Lytechinus pictus: one gene and its partner. The protein of the gene in region 1 interacts with the protein of each later gene in a biochemical or structural test. Links are inferred from orthologs where the notes say so. Each region holds a gene or a part of one and is shown in the gene's direction. Other genes may lie near its edges. The genes, in order: poly [ADP-ribose] polymerase 2-like and histone PARylation factor 1-like.

The links.
Region 2: the proteins of poly [ADP-ribose] polymerase 2-like (region 1) and histone PARylation factor 1-like form a complex in vitro, tested with the Homo sapiens proteins (2 studies listed by BioGRID). The link is inferred for Lytechinus pictus from reciprocal best matches to the Homo sapiens genes PARP2 and HPF1.

The regions. Positions count from the first base shown.
Region 1 is NC_087246.1:38,748,543-38,758,335, reverse strand, and holds the start of poly [ADP-ribose] polymerase 2-like, read left to right. Parts: upstream 1-5,037; 5' UTR 5,038-5,164; coding exon 5,165-5,210; intron 5,211-9,793. UniProt on the Homo sapiens protein: Poly-ADP-ribosyltransferase that mediates poly-ADP-ribosylation of proteins and plays a key role in DNA repair.
Region 2 is NC_087249.1:40,174,489-40,184,202, reverse strand, and holds the start of histone PARylation factor 1-like, read left to right. Parts: upstream 1-5,690; 5' UTR 5,691-6,123; coding exon 6,124-6,249; intron 6,250-7,445; coding exon 7,446-7,602; intron 7,603-8,664; coding exon 8,665-8,802; intron 8,803-9,714. Other genes in the region: kinesin-2b-like, read right to left, coding at 11-58, 475-630, 5,596-5,598. UniProt on the Homo sapiens protein: Cofactor for serine ADP-ribosylation that confers serine specificity on PARP1 and PARP2 and plays a key role in DNA damage response.

The DNA.
Region 1 (9,793 bases):
AAAATCTGATTTAAATGAAAAATATGTTTGTAAGATCCCAGTCCATTCATTTACACAGAATTTCAGGCAGCACAACTTGGGTCTCATAGTACCAGGAACACAAACAACCCAACCCAAATGGGAAACTCCTTTTCCCATAAGGCTTCTGTTCTTTGGAATCAGCTACCACTTGAAACAAGGATTTCAAATTCTATTTTCAAAGCAACACTGGAGACTTACATGTACTTCTATTTTGTTTTATCAATGTCTATTTGTTTATAAACGGAATAATTTTTTATTGCACTACGGTCATCCATTAAAAAATATCATATTCCTTTACCAGTTCTATCATAGAGCCGAGTTATTTGGACCGATTTCACAGCCTGGGGGAGGGGGATGAATTCCCCCCCCCCCCCCGAGCCGAGATCCTGGCCATACATTGTGCGACTGCCGCAAAAATTTGCACAAGGGTAGTGTGCGATGAAATCTACAAGACTGTATGTTTATTATTTATGAAATATTAGGATTTTTTATATGAATTAATTATGCTATTTATGTGTAAAATAATAAATTTGCTCTAATTACCTAAATACAGCCCCCAAACTGGGAGAAAAAGAGGGAGAAAGAAAGAAACATAGTAGAGAAAGAAGAAATTATTGTAAACCCCTCAAAAAAAATTTGGTAATCTAAATTTGATTGGTAATCCCTCCTCGGTTTTTGTGAATATTAATGTGAAATTGATACCAATAAAAAGATAATTTAATTGTCTTTAAAATGATACCCTACATGATATCGTGCTGTAGAGGGGAGCAACACACGACCGTGTTGTTAAAATAAAACATGATGAGTGCGTGTGAATGTTTTCGATATGGCCGACGTTGACCCTATACGTACCCCGCCGGGCGGTAAGGGCCAGGGGTACGATCGAGTTTGATAAAGTCAAGATGTGTGGATTGTCATGATTGTAGTGAAGTGAGATCGTGTTTTGTGGCCATTTAATAATCGTATTTTGTTGAGATTTTGGAGTAATTTTTGTTGCTGTTCTATGTATTCTGAGGAAAACTATGTTTTCTGTGATTTTCCGTTTGAAATGCCACTTTCCATTTCAAAAGGCCATTTCTGTGAATTCAGTCCGTTTTCCGCGATCACGGAAAATCACTGTCCCTAAAAATGTCTTTATTAGGTCAGTATACTCAAAATTTTTGTTGGTGCCCCCCCAATGCTGTGACCCATGGAACGCCACTGCCTAACAATAAGCAAAAGGAAAGTGGGGATGTGACATCATCAGCCCACCTAATGAATATTCATGATGACGTACATGGAACTAATGGAACTATTTTCACAAAACATTGCTAAACTTTAAAATGCAATAAATTTGTTATTTATTGTCCGATTTTGATGAAATTTTCAGCTTTTTAAGTCTGAGAATTCAAACAATGAAATCAAGATCTAAGCAGAAATAAAGCCATTCTAGTTGTTTTCTTATTCCAGCTTTTGCTTCGAGCCGTTTAGAGTCTTGTGAATTGTGATCGGTGCAAACTTTTAATGTGAAGAGAGATGCCTGTGTGCGTGTGATGCCGCGATGCTTCATCTAATTTTTACGCTTGACAATGTTTCACTTTGAAATTTTATTCATTTCTAAAACATTTTAGTTTTCTAACAATATTTAAAAATATAAATTAAAAAAAAATGTATCGGTAAATTTTGTTAGATGACTGAATTTTAATTTGTTTGCTTGAAGTTTGAAGTTTTTTCTTTCTTTTTTTCCTTCTTTCTTCTATCCTTCCTGCTTGCCTTTTTGTTCCATCTCTCTTTATTTCCTATCTTTCCTAGCTTTCTTTCCTGATCTATTCTCTCTCTGTTCATTTTTCTTCCTTTCCTTCCTTATTTCCTTTCTCTTTCTTTCCTTAAAATTTTCTTTGCTCCCTTCCCTCTTCCTCGGGCTACTTTTTTTTTTTCTTTCTGTCTTACCTTCTTTCTTCTTTCCTTCCTCCATTCTTTTCTTGCTTTCATTCTCTTTGCTTAATTCTTTCCTTCCTTCTTTTTCTTTTCCCTTATTCTTTCTTTCTTTCATTAATAATTCATAATTCTATCCTTCCTGATTTTTCTTTTTCTTTATTTCTTCATCCTTCTATCCTTCCTGAATTCCTTTTGTCCATTCTATCTATCTCTAGCAGGGTGACCAGACGTCCCGTATTTCCCGGGATCGTCCCGTATTTTGCTCCTTTGTCCCGACAAACCCTTCCCGGGACGCCTATTTGTCCCGTATTTCAGAATATTGAACAAAATATAGTTAATACATTTAAAAGTGACAAATTTTCATCAAATAATCAACAGATGACGAAGCAGAGACAACTAAAAATCGATAACTGTAAACTTTTGCAATTTCTGTGGTGATTTTCTTGCTAACCCACAGTGCAAACGAACATGGCCTCCTGCCTGTGTGTGGCAGGTTAACGCGGCTAGGCATGTAGGATCGGAGCAGATTCTCAATGGTGCAAACAATCTCACATGATAAACAGTTTTTCCACCAAAACAATCACAGAATCGGCAGGATTTTTTTAATGATTATATGGATTCTCAGATTACTGATTTGGAGATGTAATCGGAGGAACAAGTTACTGAGTTATAGTTGTTTCAACTTTCGTTTTGAGTCCTGTTGTGATCGGTGCGAACTTGTAATGGGATGCCTGTGTACGATGCCGTGATGTTTCATCTAATTTTTGAAGTTTGACAATGTTTCACTTTGAAATTTTATTCATTTCTAAAACATTTTTTTTTACATATTAAAAACACCAAATATCAGTATTATTTTTGTTAGATTGGATTTTTTTGGTTTGCTTCAAGTTTGTAACTTGTTTACTCTGTCTTTCTTTTCTATCCTTCTTTTTTCATTCTTCTATCCTTCCTGCTTTCCCTTTTTTTTCCATCTATCTTTCTTTCCTGATCCTTTCTCTCTCTCTATCTTTTCATTTTTCTTTCTTTCCTTCTTTTTAAATTTCTTTTATATTTCCTTAAATTTTTCTTTGCTTCTCATTTCCCTTTCTCTCCTTTTTATTTTTGTTCTTTCTCTCCTCCCATTATTTTCTTTTTTTCATTCCCTCCTCCCTTTCCAATCTCATTCCTCCCTCTCTGTCATTCTTTACTTTATTTTTTCCTTCTAATGCTTTTCCATTATTCATTCTTTCCCTTCATCCTAATTCCTTCCTTCCTGTTTTTCTTCTTTCTTTCTTTTAAAGAATGAAGGAAACATTTTTCTTTCCTTCATTCTTTTCTCCTTATTTCTTTCTTTTAGTTTCTCTCCTATTCTTTTTCTTTCACACATTTATTAATCTTCCTTTTTTTTTCTTTCTTTCTATATTCATTTCAAAGAATGACAGAAACCTTTTTTTCTCTCTTTTATTCTTTCTTTCATCAATCTTTTATACTATTACTAGCTTTCTTTTAATTTCATTTTTTTTTCTTTCTTCTCAATTCATCACTTTTCTTTCTCTCCTTCATTCTTTTGTTCACCCTCCCTTCCAATTCTTTTTTTTTCACAAGTAGTAACACTGTGTAGCCTCCTTTGTAGATTTTTTATTTTATTTTAAGACCTGGCTCTGTCGATCCGTTCATGCAGAGTGCTTTGCCAATTGTCCTGTATTTCATTTTGTGAAATCTGGTCACCCTGATCTCTAGTGTATTTCTTATAATTTCCTGGCCTTCCTTTCTGTGTTCATTTATTTTCTTCATTCTTTGCTTCATGTCCCTCGTTCTTTTTTTCTTTCCTACTTTCTTTCTTTTCTTCATATTTTCTTCCATTAAATTGTTCTTTGCTTTCTTCTCCCTTCCTCTCCTTTTCATTCATTTTTCTCCTTCCATTATTTTTTTTTTCATGCTCTCCTCCCTTCATTCTTTCCTCCCTCTTTCATTCTTTTTTTTCCTTCTTCCTTTCCCCTTATTCTTTTTTCCTTCATTGCTATTCCCTTCTTTCCTCCCTGCTTTTCTTCTTTCATTCTTTCAATGAATTTACATTTTTCTTTCCTTCATTCTTACTTTCATCCTTTTTTCTTACTTTTTTTTCCTATGATTTCTTTCATTCTTCTTTTCATTTTGTTACTTTATTTTCTTTACAGTTCATTTTTTCAGCAGAGACCTAGTAATATGTCTGTTCGAAAATGTTTAAAGTTTTTGTTCAACTTATTTCTTTATTTCTGCATCAATTATGTTCATACTTATTTTAAAAAATGGTCCTTATTGATAATCAATCATGTTTAATCATACATGAAAAAACAGCAAGAGCTGGAAAAATCATGTTTACAAGTTGAAGTTGGTGTTGGCACAATTAAATACACAGTAAAAACCATAGTAAAATGCATTAAGAAGGCTATACATTTAAAAGTTAATACAATTTAGATAAAGCAAAATGCAATAGAAAGTCATTTGGAAAAAATACAAGCGAAGTTTCATCAATTTTAGAAATTTAGTACACAAAATGTTAAACATTTATTTTTAGTAGTTTGGTCTTTGGAAATATTATAGTATACAGAACAAAATAGAAGATGATTACAACTATTGAATTAATGTTTTAGTGTAGTCCAAAGACAAAAAAAGAAGGCTTCAAAAATATAAAGTGTCCGGACACCCGACCCCCATCCTATATTGCTAGCCTATATAAAGCTAACTGTTAACCTCGCACTAGTGTGAGTGACCATTACCCGCTCATGCAATCTCTCCGCACACAAATCCAGTGGGGTTATCACAAATCTGTGATGCAATCATTCGATTTGCACATGAGCTAAATCCCCGGGTAAATATCAGAGTTTTTTAGCACTGACCTCACACAACTAGTCAGGAAAGTTGCATTACGGTAGTCACACTATTCTGGCCCAATTCAGGTTTGAAGAAGCAGCATCACCATCATGACGTTGATCACAGTGTCAGTCGTCTAATTTTGATAATTACACAAACGTGTATTGACAGATTTTTTGAAGAAAACAAGTGTGTGTATGACGTCATTTACCGTAACTCAACTCGAGAATCGAGATCGAGCTAGCTAGCTTCTGATTGGTCAAATGTGCGCGCGAGCGATCGATCGAGAGCACATTATTGGAGCTCCGAATCTGGCCGCTAGCGCCTCGGCCTCGACAGCACAATTTATACAATTACAATTGTAAAAGACAAGACAAGGATTAAATATTGCAGGATGGCAAAAAGTACGAAGAAGTCGACAAAACGTGAGAACAACGCAGGTAATTATAATTAACCAGAGTAAGTTAGACACCTAAATCTTGTAGATAAGCCTTGGTAGATTTGACTAGGCGCTCTAACTTATTCTTGCTGTAGACTACCGTACACTACAATCCGAATTATTGTGTCACAGAATTTTGATGAATCCAATTAGATACGTGTGTACAAGATTTACATGCGCCCATAATGGTAATGGCCTACTAGGAAAAAGTTCCATATGCACCCCCCACCAAAAATAACAAAAGATTGTTGAGACTTCCGGGGCCTGTTGCCTGACGAGATGAGCGATACATGGGAACGTCCTAGGACCATTCTTCCTAGATATAGGAAGATTGGCGACAAATCAGCGCTTTCCGTTTCACGAAAGAGTCAGGAAAGTTTTTGCCACACGTCTTCTTAATTAAGACATTATTTTTTATCTATAAACTTCATATGTGTCGATTGAAATATATTGATACATGCTCAGAACCTGCATATAACCATAATTAAACTGCATGAACTATGTCTTTACGACTTGTCCTGTCTACTCTGAACCCTGGATGATTATTTATTATGGATACTATTGCCTTCATAATCATAGGGCTGATCTCCGAAAGCAGCGGAGGGAGAAAACCAGGAAGGAAGATAGTCAGTGTCTTAGTGATGATAGTTCAAACAATAGTATGGACGAAACAAAGTCTTATTCTAAAAAGAAGTCGTCAACTAATAAACTACATTGCCTCTGTATAAATTTTCAAAGTATCAAGAATAAAAATAGGGTGTCTGAAGCCACACTGAAAAGTGTCGGCATAAAACAGCCTGATTTAGGGGAAAATATGGCACATATTTTGGGGGAAGTTCAGGCTACTAGAAAAATGTGATCTGAATTGATTATTAACTTTTGTTTGGCATGTATGGAAAGAGAAAATTCAGGGGCTTCTTTTGACAGTAAGGACAAGTTTATATGATCATTTTACATAAGGATTTAGAGATAAATTGCAAACCCTTATTTTTGTGTGTGTTGAGATTGCCATTTCTCCATGCATTTTCTATGGGAAAATGAAATTTCTGTTTTGCACAATTTTTTTCACTTTGTCGCAATTTTTCATTGTGATCTGGTTTCCAAATCTTTATAAAAATCATACCATCAGATAGAGCATAAAAAATCCTATTGGACTCTTTATGGACAAGTTTTTGGCATTAATAATAAATTTATAACAGCTCTCGGAAGCTAAAAATTTGGATTTGTGTGTGTCCATTTCTTAACTACACAGTCTATGGCAGAGAAATGCTGAAAATTGACCTAATTTCTTTCTTCTTTTTTGCAGCCAATAATTGGATTTTTTTCAAAAATGTTACATTTCTGTCAGTCTGAAGGTCATTTGTCTTCAAAATCACAAAGAAAATGTGATATTTTCTTGAAATAAGAAAAATAATTTTCTAATAAAAAAGCAGAATGGGAAACACTGATACATATGTACCAGCCAGATGTTGTGTTCGGTATGAAAAAATTGATGGTGGGCCCCAAGTCTGGGCACCTAACAATTTGAGTTAAGATTTAACATGAATTTCTTCTTATTTCACAAAATCTTTCAGTTAATAATGTTCCTTATATTATTTTGAGTAAGTGTACCAAATTTCTCATTGAAAAATGAAAGAAAATATAGGATTTTCTTGAAAAAACCTCGGGCAGTCTTTTTCAGATTGAAAAATAAAATGGTCCCCCATGTCTGCGCACTCATTCACTTTGCACACGATTCAGGGATTTTGATGAGAAAGGCTGCATTTTGAGGCCGTCACATGAAATGCCCTAAATTCATTATTTTTTCACCATTTTGAGTCAGATTTTTTATGGATACCCGTCTATGTATTACATGTATAAAGTTCATGCTCGTTATACGTATCTTCTTTTACTAGAATCGCGCAGATACGCGTGTGCGCAGACAAGGGGGACTGCGCAGACTTGGGGGAACTTGCCATACTGAAACATGGCTGAGTCCCTCAGTGATAGATGCGGAATTCATGCCTAATGGTTATACAGTGCATAGAAAGGACAGAGAAAGCTATGCCCATGGTGGCGTTTTTCTCATGCATAAAACCAATTTGCCAATTGTGAGAATACCTGACTACAGAAATTATATGGTGTCAACTTAACCTAATACGTAGAAGACCAATTTTATTGGCTACGGTCTATAAACCTAAACACAATGATATGACTACTGTGTATTCTCTTAAAGAATCACTTGACTTGATAAATGCTCATGTTAAGCCTTATGATGTCATCATCCAAGGAGATTTTAATCAAAGTAAATTGACTGGAAAGAGGCAATTGTATTGCAAACAGGTTCAGCCTCAAAAGAAACTGCTGAAGCATTATTAGATGTTACAATTAGTAGGGACAGTGATTTTCCGCGATCGCGGAAAACGGACGGAATTCACGGAAAGGGTGTTTTGAAACGGAAAGTGTCATTTCAAACGGAAAATCACGGAAAACGTATTTTCCCTCAAAATACACAGAATAGCAACAGAAATTACTCCAAAATCACAACAAAATGATAATATTAAATGGCCACAAAACCCCAGAAAACACGATCTCACTTCGCTACTTTCATGACAATTCACACATCGTGACTGCACTCGACATCAGCACACTTGATTGTACCCCGCACCGTACCCGTACCCTGCCGCCGGCGCCGGGTTGGGCTTCACATGCACACACATATCGTTCACTGCACGGTCGTGTGTTGCTGCCCTCTACGTTTGAAGATGTAACAGCACGATATCGTGGTTTAAATCCAAGATGGCGGATTGGCAAAAGCCGTTGACTGATGATAACGATGTCCAAAAAACCCCAAAATTATCGATGAAATATCATTTCACCGTGAAATAATGCTAATAATGTGAAAGGTGAGGATGTATGCATGCTAAATGGGGTTGGAAAAATATTTTATGCACCCACATAGATCCGATTAGAACGGATTCTATTGCGTTGTTGGTACAGTAGCAGATACAAATTTTGACCAGTGCGAGTGTACGGTATTCAATGTGTAAACGGAATTGTCACTTTTCCGTGTGTACAAAGTCTATGGGGGAAACGGAATTTCCGTTTTCTGACATGCTGAAACGGAATTTGAGATTTTCTGAAACGGAAAAGGCAACTTTTTGAAACGGAAAATCACTGTCCCTAAATTAGCAATGGCTTAGAACAGTTAGTAAATAGCCCAACAAGGGAAAACAATATATTAGACCTTTTCTTTTCAAATAACATTGCTGTCGTCCAAGACGTAAATGTCATCGCAGGGCTTAGTGATCATGATATAGTAGAATCAAGTATCAATGTTAAAGTAAGAAGGAATTGTAAACCTAAACGAGCAATTTTCCAAAGACAGAAAGCTGATGAGGAAAGAATTAAAGAAAGAATAAACCAGTTTTGTAAGAAGTACAGGGAAAGTTTTATGAACTGCTCAACGCAGGATAAATGGGATAATTTGGAAAAAGAGCTGAAATCCATAATGAAGGACCATGTACAAGTAAAGTTGGCTTCTAATAGACGAAATTTACCATGGTTCACAAGAACACACAGGAGAATGTGTAGGAAAAAACAAAGATTGTATAATAAAGCAAAGAGATCTGGTTTGCCCAAAGATTGGGATATCTTCAAAAAGTTTTGCAATGTAATTAGAAAAGAATTAAATAAATCTAAATCAGAGTATATAACAGACAATTTACTAATGTCATTAAAAGAAAACCCAAAGGTTTTTTGGTCTATATTTGCAAAATTAAAGAAAGAAAGTACTGGTATTGATGACTTTCTAATCAATAATAAAATAATAAGTGCTGATAAAGAGAAAGCTGTGCTTCTTAGCAAGGTATTTGTTAGCAACTTCACAAAAGAAGATGTAACAAATGTACCACTAATCTCTACTCAACTACCGGAAATACAAAAACTTGTTATTAGTGAATCTGGAGTACTTAAACAACTACAGAACATTAATCCTAACAAGGCATCTGGACCAGATGACCTTCCTCCGTGGCTCTTTAAAATGGTAGCAAATGAAATAACCCCAATTTTAACTGATATATATCAGTCCTCAATAAATGAGGGTATATGTACATTTACAGTGGAAAAGGGCTAATATTTGTTCTATCTTTAAAAAAGGGGAAAAGTCAGATCCAAATAATTATAGGAGTATCATTGACTTGTATTGCTTGTAAGATCCTCGAACACATTGTACATTCCCATATTATGAAGCATTTGGAAATGCATGAAATCTTGGTTGACAACCAACATGGTTTTAGAGCAAAACGTTCTACTACCACCCAATTAGTACTTACTATCCATGACATAACAAATGCTCTTGAGAAAGGAAAATCTGTACATGTAGCTTTCCTAGACTTTGCCAAAGCGTTCGATAAGGTTCCACACGAACGACTACTGAGAAAACTCCAATCATATGGCATTACTGGATCGCTCCTAAAGTGGGAAAGACACTTCCTCACAGGACGCTTCCAAACAGTCTTGGTCAATGGATCTCCCTCCGAGGAGTTGCCAGTGCTCTCAGGAGTGCCCTAGGGCACAGTAACCGGCCCACTAGATTTTCTTATG
Region 2 (9,714 bases), on another chromosome or scaffold:
AAATACTTACTGTTCTTGTATCCCAGAAGTAGCTGGCATCAAAAGCAAATACAGCTTCCTAAATATAGTAATAATGAACAGAAAAAACACAAAATTAATAAATAGTGTGTTATATCATTCTACATTAGTGTCATCACTAAAATATCAAACTAAGGGAGGATGCATGGTAAATATACACATTACAATCTTTCATCTGTTGAAATCTTAGTCAAGTAAAGGATATGACACAATACAATGAAAAACATGATGAAATTTAAATTCATGATATATATCAGTTTGGTGCAATTATAAGGTTTTTAAAGGTGTACATCAAAATTTTGTTTAACAAATGGGTAAAAACAAGAAATTATAGAAAGTTCCTTGTCCCCCTTATATAAACATCTTGCTACAAAAGAAAAACAATTGAATATACACTTATTGCAATGGAAGATAGAAAATGACAAATTCATCACTTGAATAATAGACTGAACAAACCTTTCCAGTGCCGCCCTGTTGTGGATTCTGCAATGTAGTCTTGTCTCCAGACATCTTGACAATTCTTGAAGCACCTTTCTCTTTCTCGATATCTGTGAAAGGTCGACATCGTGCCACCACTTTCACCGCTACCTTCTCTGCAGCCTTTGAGTCAGGCTAAAATTAAAGCATTGCAAAGCAGTTAAAAATTGTCAAGTTTGGATCTTAATCTTCCCACTCTTCTTAAAAACAACAAGGGAAGAGAAGTTAAAAGGTTTGGCAAAGTGAGCATCTGACTGCAGATAATCACTCAATATACGAATAATAAACCTGTTTACTAAATATTGCTTGCCAACTCCCAAAACTATAATACATGTTACAACTTACAAGTGATATTCATGCTTAAAATACTTAATTAGAAAAAAGAAGAAAATAGTTACATATATACAGTGATTACTAAGTAAACCTTTTAATTCATTTCAATAGAACAAATTAGAAGTGAAAACATATCAAAACCACTAACAATTCCCTGAAATCTCAAGCTACTAAATAATTAACAATAACATTTCGAGTTTTCATTAAAACAACTTAACTGCAGATTTAATGTCAATTAATCATCAGAAGTCCATCTGAATACTGTTCACAACTTTATAAGTTATGTTATTTTTCTGAATCAGATGATGATGATGATGGTGGTGGTGGTTTTCATATTTCATTTAATATCTTGCTCCATATAGCTACATTTCTAAATTTTTCTATCAATCTTCTTACATTAATACAAACTTTCATTCTTTGTGGACTCTAAATTGAATTAATTATAAGGTAATATTTGAATTAGAGATGCTCGGCAGGTCGCGCAGCCGAGCACATGTATCCCCCGAACCCACCGCTTCATCCGTATTTGCGATATATAGAGCTCACACAGAAATTTGACAAATAAATACAATGGTCATGGCGACAATGACCCTGCCCATATTCACTGTGAATCTCAATTTTTCTAATCATGCCATTGATGTCAATTGTTCTACAAATATTTTTGGAGTACTTGCAAAGTAAGCTTCTCAGAAAGACAGGTGACAGAGTAAAGTAATTATTATAGTTTTTTAATCTAATTTTTTAATGCAATGATGTAAAGTGGTTTTACTTGTATTGCACATTGAATCATTCTGATTTACTTTCTATAATCAGAAATTTATTTCACAATCAAAAGAAATGGAATGTAATTGCAATTAAAATCAACATTTGTTATGATTTTCATTTAATGAATTCAAAGCATTGATCAACTCAGAAGATTTCCTTACTTTAATATCCTTCTTTCTCCTTCTTTACAATCATATCATCCCTACCCCCCAACTTCCATCTTCTTTTCTTCTTACAAATAATTATACTTTTCTTATTTCTTTTTAATAACCCGATTCATTTCTTCTTCTCAATATTTCTCCTTTAAATTTTGTTTTCTTTCTCTTCAACTGTCTTTTTTCCCCTTCCTTTCCTTCCCCAGCCTGCTTTAGAACTTACAATGATACAATTTATATATTCTAGTCACCAAATTACAACACAGTCAATTATTTTTTATATCTTGACCTGAAAAAATATTGAAAAAGTCAGAGGGATACCATGATCATGAATACACATCTACAGACATCTATTATGAGCATGGTGACAGTAATGGGCCAAATCGTGGTTTCAGGAACCACTTGTCGATTTATATACGCATGCGCGCCTGTGAATGGAGGTGAAAATAGGGAACCGTGCGTGTGAATGAATAAAGCGCTACTGTACAAAGTGAACGGTGGTTCCCAATTTCACGATAATGACCAGTTATGACAATCATGGAAGTTGTCTTATGGAAATTGTCCCAAGCAGGGCCTCGGATCGTACTTGACAAGACCCCCCCCCCCAAAAGAAGGCCTTGAACATGTTGAAGTTTACTAAAGGTAAAGGGGGTAGGCCTACTATACTATAGTATAATGTTGTAAATCGGATCAAAAATCAGATCGAAAATCGGATCGGCAGTTAAGCTTCTAAAATCGAAATCGAATCGAAAATCGAATCGGCGATGTTTAAAAACAAAGGAATACATCAAAATGTGTTTCGCGGTCGCGCGCATCTTCCTGACAAAGTCACAAAGACGAATGCATTGGAATGGAAGTCGCCAACATGCGCGATCGTTTGGAACATGTTTTAAAGCCAGGGGTTTTGAGGTGTTATTGCTTTAAAATAAACCGAGTGATTGTTATTAGAAAGATAAACGAAAGACGCATCTTCCGAGCAAAGGCGCAAAGGAAAATAAAATGAAAATATTTCTCATAGATCACAGGTTAATGAACGATCGGCGGGACATCTTTTAGAAGTATTTTTAGGTGCTAGCGATTTAGAATTATTGGAATGATCTCTTACGACGCATCATCTTAAAGTCGCAAGTGCAATTAAAATGAAGTAAAAGACGCAAGCACGCACGATGATTTGAAATATGTTATTAAAATGTTTTGGGTAGCTAGCGTTTTCAAATCAATTTGAAGTTCACGGCGGGGTCCGCTATCACCACGAGGTTGAAGAGAAGATGTCTATCATCATAAAGGGGGTAAGAGAGTAGCGCAGTGAGCTCCGTCGGTAATACGACCTTTCAAAGTTCACGGCGGCATCCGCTATCACCACGAGGTTGAAAATAAAATGTATATCATCATAAACGATGTAAGAGAGTAACTCAATAAGCTCCGTCAATAGTACAGTCTTTAAAAGTTTATGGCGGGGTCCGCTATCACCACGAGGTTGAAGAGAATATTTATATCATTATAAAGGGGGTAAGAGAGTAGCGCAGTGAGCTCCGTCGGTAATACGACCTTTCAAAGTTCACGGCGGCTTCCGCTATCACCACGAGGTTGAAAATAAAATGAATATCATCATAAACGATGTAAGAGAGCAACGCAATAAGCTCCGTCAATAGTACAGTCTTTAAAAGTTTATGGCGGGGTCCGCTATCACCACGAGGTTGAAGAGAATATCTATATCATTATAAAGGGGGTAAGAGAGTAGCGCAGTGAGCTCCGTCGGTAATACGACCTTTCAAAGTTCACGGTGGCTTCCGCTATCACCACGAGGTTGAAAATAAAATGAATATCATCATAAACGATGTAAGAGAGCAACGCAATAAGCTCCGTCAATAGTACAGTCTTTAAAAGTTTATGGCGGGGTCCGCTATCACCACGAGGTTGAAGAGAAGATTTATATCATTATAAAGGGGGTAAGAGAGTAGCGCAGTGAGCTCCGTCGGTAATACGACCTTTCAAAGTTCACGGCGGCTTCCGCTATCACCACGAGGTTGAAAATAAAATGAATATCATCATAAACGATGTAAGAGAGTAACACAATGAGCTCCGTCGGTAATACGACCTTTCAAAGTTCACGGCAGCATCCGCTATCACCACGAGGTTGAAAATAAAATGTATATCATCATAAACGATGTAAGAGAGTAACTCAATAAGCTCCGTCAATAGTACAGTCTTTAAAAGTTTATGGCGGGGTCCGCTATCACCACGAGGTTGAAGAGAATATTTATATCATTATAAAGGGGGTATGAGAGTAGCGCAGTGAGCTCCGTCGGTAATACGACCTTTCAAAGTTCACGGCGGCATCCGCTATCACCACGAGGTTGAAAATAAAATGTATATAATCATAAACGATGTAAGAGAGTAACGCAGTGAGCTCCGTCGGTAATACGACCTTTCAAAGTTCACGGCGGCATCCGCTATCACCATGAGTTGGAAGAGAAGATATCTATCCTCTTAAACATCGCCATAGATAATACCGCGTCTTTCTCCCTGAATAATGCGACCTCTAAATAGCTAGCACCTCAAAAACAATCTTGAAATATGTTCTGAGCGATCACGCACTGTAACCAGATCTACGCCGATTTTTTATTTTCGATTTTTTTCCTTCAAGGGGCATGATCGAAGATCGGCAAGTGATTGCCGATTGTGGTGAAATCGAATGGAATCGGTTGCCGATTGCAAAATCGGTTACAAGCTTACTATAGTAATACCATGGCATGGCATTATTGGTAGGGTGTCTGAAGCCACACTGAAAAGTGTCAGCATAAAACAGGCTAATTTAGGGGAAAATATGGCATATTTTTTCGGGGAAGTTCAGGCTACTAGAAAAATGTGATCTGAATTGATTATTAACTTGTGTTTGGCATGTATGGAAAGAGAAAATTCAGGGGCTTCTTTTGACAGTAAGGACAAGTTTATATGATCATTTTAAATAAGGATTTAGAGATAAATTGCAAACCCTTATTTTTGTGTGTGTTGAGATTGCCATTTCTCCATGCGTTTTCTATGGGAAAATGAAATTTCTGTTTTGCACAATTTTTTTCATTTTGTCGCAATTTTTCATTGTGATCTGGTTTCCAAATCTTTATAAAAATCATACCATCAGATAGAGCATAAAAAATCCTATTGGACTCTTTATGGACAAGTTTTTGGCATTAATAATAAATTTATAACAGCTCTCGGAAGCTAAAAATTTGGATTTGTGTGTGTCCATTTCTTAACTACACAGTCTATGGCAGAGAAATGCTGAAAATTTACCTAATTTCATTCTTCTTTTTTGCAGCCAATAATTGGATTTTTTTCAAAAATTTTACATTTCTGTCAGTCTGAAGGTCATTTCTCTTCAAATTCACAAAGAAAACGTGATATTTTCTTGAAATAAGAAAAATAATTTTTTTCTCCAGACACCCTATTATTGGCTAAGTAAAACACTCTCTGATTCTGAAATTCTTCTCTTTTTTCTCTGAGAGTAAGTCTCTTTTCTTCTTTCTCTCTCTTTGACATTGTCATTTGTTGCAATTTTGACTTTTGTGATCACCCCCCCCCCCCCCCATCCGCGCCTGGTCAACCCCTCCTCTCTCACTCAGCATTATTCACACTCGGCTCTCTGCATGCAATGCCAGGCCACGGTATAATGCCAATTAATTAAGTTCACATCGCATCGCGATGCAATTCGGCAATGCAATGCCAATGCCATGGCCGATATGCACGTTAAAAAAATCAGAACAAGCAGTAGTCCTACTTTCATTACTATCACAATCCTAAATCTACTAACGTGTAAAATTCACATGAAACCAATTAAAATACGAACCATGTTGCGTGACTATACAAGAATTTGATGAAGATTTACTCCTTTTTTCCGGATCCTCGATAAACTGTTGTCAGAAACCAAGCAACTCTGACGTCATTCGATCTGGGATTTGATCAGGTGACCATAAAGATCTTGCGACCTTTTCCAAGACTTTGTGATATGTTTTTGCACGTCCTTTGGTAGTATTCTTCATTTGTATTTATATATTTTTAACAAAAAGACATTTCGATTGTAATATTATAGTATTCGAAATATCCAGTAATTATTTTTTTGTGGTTGAAATCAATAAATAATGAACAGTGTAAAATTAGATTACTACGTAATCCTTCAAACGTTCCTATAGTATGAATATTGCGCGCGCCGCACACTTGTAAACAACGTGAAATCAACCAAATGCAATGCAAATGCAAAATGTTAGAAGGAAATTAGACTCAATTGTCTTTAGCCTCTGATACTATCTAGATTTATCTAGGTTCTATGTAGACCTAAAACGAAATCGAAGACGAGTTTACAGCTTATCTTTAGAACATGGCGTCGAATCATGACTGCAAATATGGGACAAAATGCTACAGGAAGAGTGAGGAACATCTCAAGAAATTTAATCATCCAGGAAGGAAAACAAATGCAAATGACACGAATGAAGATGATGAATCGGTAAGAAAGATAACATTTGATTTCGATTAAGATTAAAAATTAAGATGAACATCAATAAGTTACATATTGGTAAGAGACTAAGAGTTCCATATGCACCCCCCACTAAAAATTGAAAATAAAAACATGGAGAAGGTTCAGAATAATATATCTAGCCCTGGCCTAATATCGAACATATATGATGGGGAAGTGGAAATACATATATGGCTTTATTCCGTCAAATATTCATCATTGAATATTTATATATTTTTTTAAATTGGTTTCAGGTTTGCTTAAAATGTCAGGACAGGTCTGCACAGTGTGGATAGTCTGATGATGGTGTACCTCGGGCGAAGTTTGTGCAAGCTCCACTTCACTACCGCCACACTACGCTCCACCTACCCGAACTTCGGGACGGTGAACTCAATCGGATATTCCAAGTGACAAAGGTGGGATCAAAAACTGGTTTATTGTAAAAATTAAAGAAAAAAAATATAACGAGAAAGAAAAAGAGCTTAATTTCTTACTCTTCACCCTTATTTCACTCCGTGTCCATCCTCCGGTTATCCTCAAAATTGGTGATTCTGGGCCATAATCAAATTCCTCACATGTATTATTCACGGCCGATTTCAAAACATTGTATGCGCGTATCGAGTGGACCTTCCTAATAGCAACACTGATGTGTGTTTCTGGCTTTTCTGCCCTCTACGTTCGTTGCATGCAATGTTTTGAAATCGGCCGTGAATAATACGTGTGAGGAATTTGATACTGGCCCAAAATCACAAATTTTGAGGATAACCGGAGGATGGACACGGAGTGAAATAAGGGTAAAGAGTAAGAAATTAAGCTATTTTTCTTTCTATTTTTTTTTTTTTTTCTTTAATTTTTACAATAAACCAGTTTTTGATCCCACCTTCGTCACTCGGAATATCCGATCGAGTTCACCGTCCCAAAGTTCGGGTAGGTGGAGCGTAGTGTAGCGGTAGTGAAGTGGAGTGGAGCCTGCACGAACTTCGCCCGAGGTAATGATGGTGTAGTGATGTCGAGTTTATAAAATTTGCCTTTGAGCTAATTTTCTTACGTCACCAGGTGTACGTCACTATGCCTATGATGCTAATTCACTGTCCAAATTCTTGTCATTTGCAATTTTGCTTGCTCTATTGTGAATCAAATGATAAATCATGACAAATCTTGTATTCTTTTCAATTTTAATGTTACAGGATCAGGATTTGGCAAGTCAACCCTCCAAACGTCAAAAGTTGACAGGTTCTGAAAAGCAGGATCAGGATCAAAATTCTAGCGAAACTGAAGTACAAGATCTCGAAACTGAAGAAATTCAAGAAGATTTACAAGAAACATGTCCTCTTGAAAATGAAGGTAACTGCATCACTATAGGATGGGGGCAAGGATCCTGGATAGGCAGGCCAGGAGGCTCCTATAGACTAGAGAGTAAAAATCATTCACTAACGATAGTTTACTCTTACGTTTATTAAGTGAATGATTTTTACTCTCTATGAGCCTCCTGGCTAGGTGGGGAAGGGGCTGCAGGGCGCAGGTATTTCTCCAAGAGGTATGTTTTGAAACAAATATGAAATGAATTTAGAATTAATTAGAAGAATCTTCATGAAGATTAGCTGTAAAATAGACAAGGGGATAGGTATCACATATATCACTTTCAGGTAGCTACTCATGAAAAAGTTTAATATTGGCCTTGTATTCAATTACAGTCTCATAATGCATGCTTATGATTTCTTGAGAATCAAGTTACATTTTATTGCAAATTGTTTTGCAATTAAGACCCTGATAAACAAAGAAACAGCATCAGAGGTTGTATCCCTTGTTTTTCTTTCTTTACTGGGCTGGAACTTCTAAGATCCAACAGATCTTTAATGCCAGTCCACACTCAAAGCCTGTTTCGTACACTATTTACTGTATTATCATTTTTTGTTACTTTGTTTTGTTCTTGTCATGTATTTCTTATTTACCTGTATATATGTTATTTTTATCGAGTGAAATAAATGAATTGAATTGAATTGAATTAATTTCATCAAATGATAATGAGATCTACTACATGTACATGTATATTTGTCTTATTAAGAAAATGGACAAGAAGTTGGTCATTCATAAACTAGGAGGGGTGCAGAATTAAACCAATTGTTTATTTCTTATTCAGTATGGTATATAGCTCCATTAAACAACTTATATTTTTTTTAATGAATGATATTAAGTGTCATTATAGGTTTGATTGGTGTGCATTTAGATACAAGATGTGTAAGATGTCTGAACTGATTGATATTTTTTGTCATTTCACATTCCCTGTAGAGTATTATTAAGCAATCAACATACAAAAAAGAGAGATAAATTGCATGTAGGCCTAGAAAAAAGAATATTGTAATATCACTTTTTTTTAATTTGATGCAACTTTCATTCATTTCTTAGATGCTGATGAAATACCTAGTACTCCTCCAAATATTGACATCAAAGAGGAACTGAGGTTAAAGTTCAAAGTTGAGATGCCACCAGATTTCTTTGATTTCTGGGATTACTGTAAGAGCATCAATAATGCTAAACCTTCTGGTAAGTTGATCATAAAAATCATATCTTATATTTGAATATGAACAAACTCTACACAACATCAAAAGTAAGTTTCCCCCAAAAGAACCCCATCAAATCTTCCAGTATAACTAATTTGAAATTAAGCCTGGGATATATAGCCAGGGTTGTTAGAGAGCAGATTCTCAAAAAGTGAGTGACATCAGTGAGTTAATGGCTGTGAGAGCACAACATGAACACAAATTATGGGGGTTTTTATATTGGAGGATTTGATGGGTTCTTTAGGGGTTAGGGGTGACTTTCTTTTGATGTTGTGTTTATTTCTTATTATTATTATCAAGTCAGGGGAATTTTACTTCTCAAATTTGATCAGCAGTGAGGGAAATATTTCAACAATATTCTGTACCGGCCGATGTGATAACCTGCTTTTATAATGACCACCTGTATATATTTGAAAATTGTTCACTTAAACTTCAAGAGTTCATGTACCCTCACTGGCCTTATCTATTGTCACAATACACAAATCATTGATTTTTTTGGTAAATTGATTTTAGTCGTTTTTTTCTGAATCATTCAAGTGTGGCATTAATTTTGTAATAAAAGGAATTATTCTTAACATGCTAATGAAATGTACCAGATGAAAAGATCTCAAGTCATGTACCATAAAGTCAGTAAAAACTATTTTCTTCACTTATACCATAATTGTGTAATTATTTGTTAAATGGCAATAGAGATGATACACAAGAAAGTCTCATACTTATCTTTGAAGATAAACAAACAAACCATTTTTTCTTTCATTTTTCTGATATCCAATCACTAAATTTGGAAAATTGCTGCTCGAAAGGCCCTTCAAACAATAAAACATTGTGAAGAAAGAGCACTGGATATTTAAAAAGAAATCACATGTAAAGTTTAACAAAGAATCATTGGCTTAAA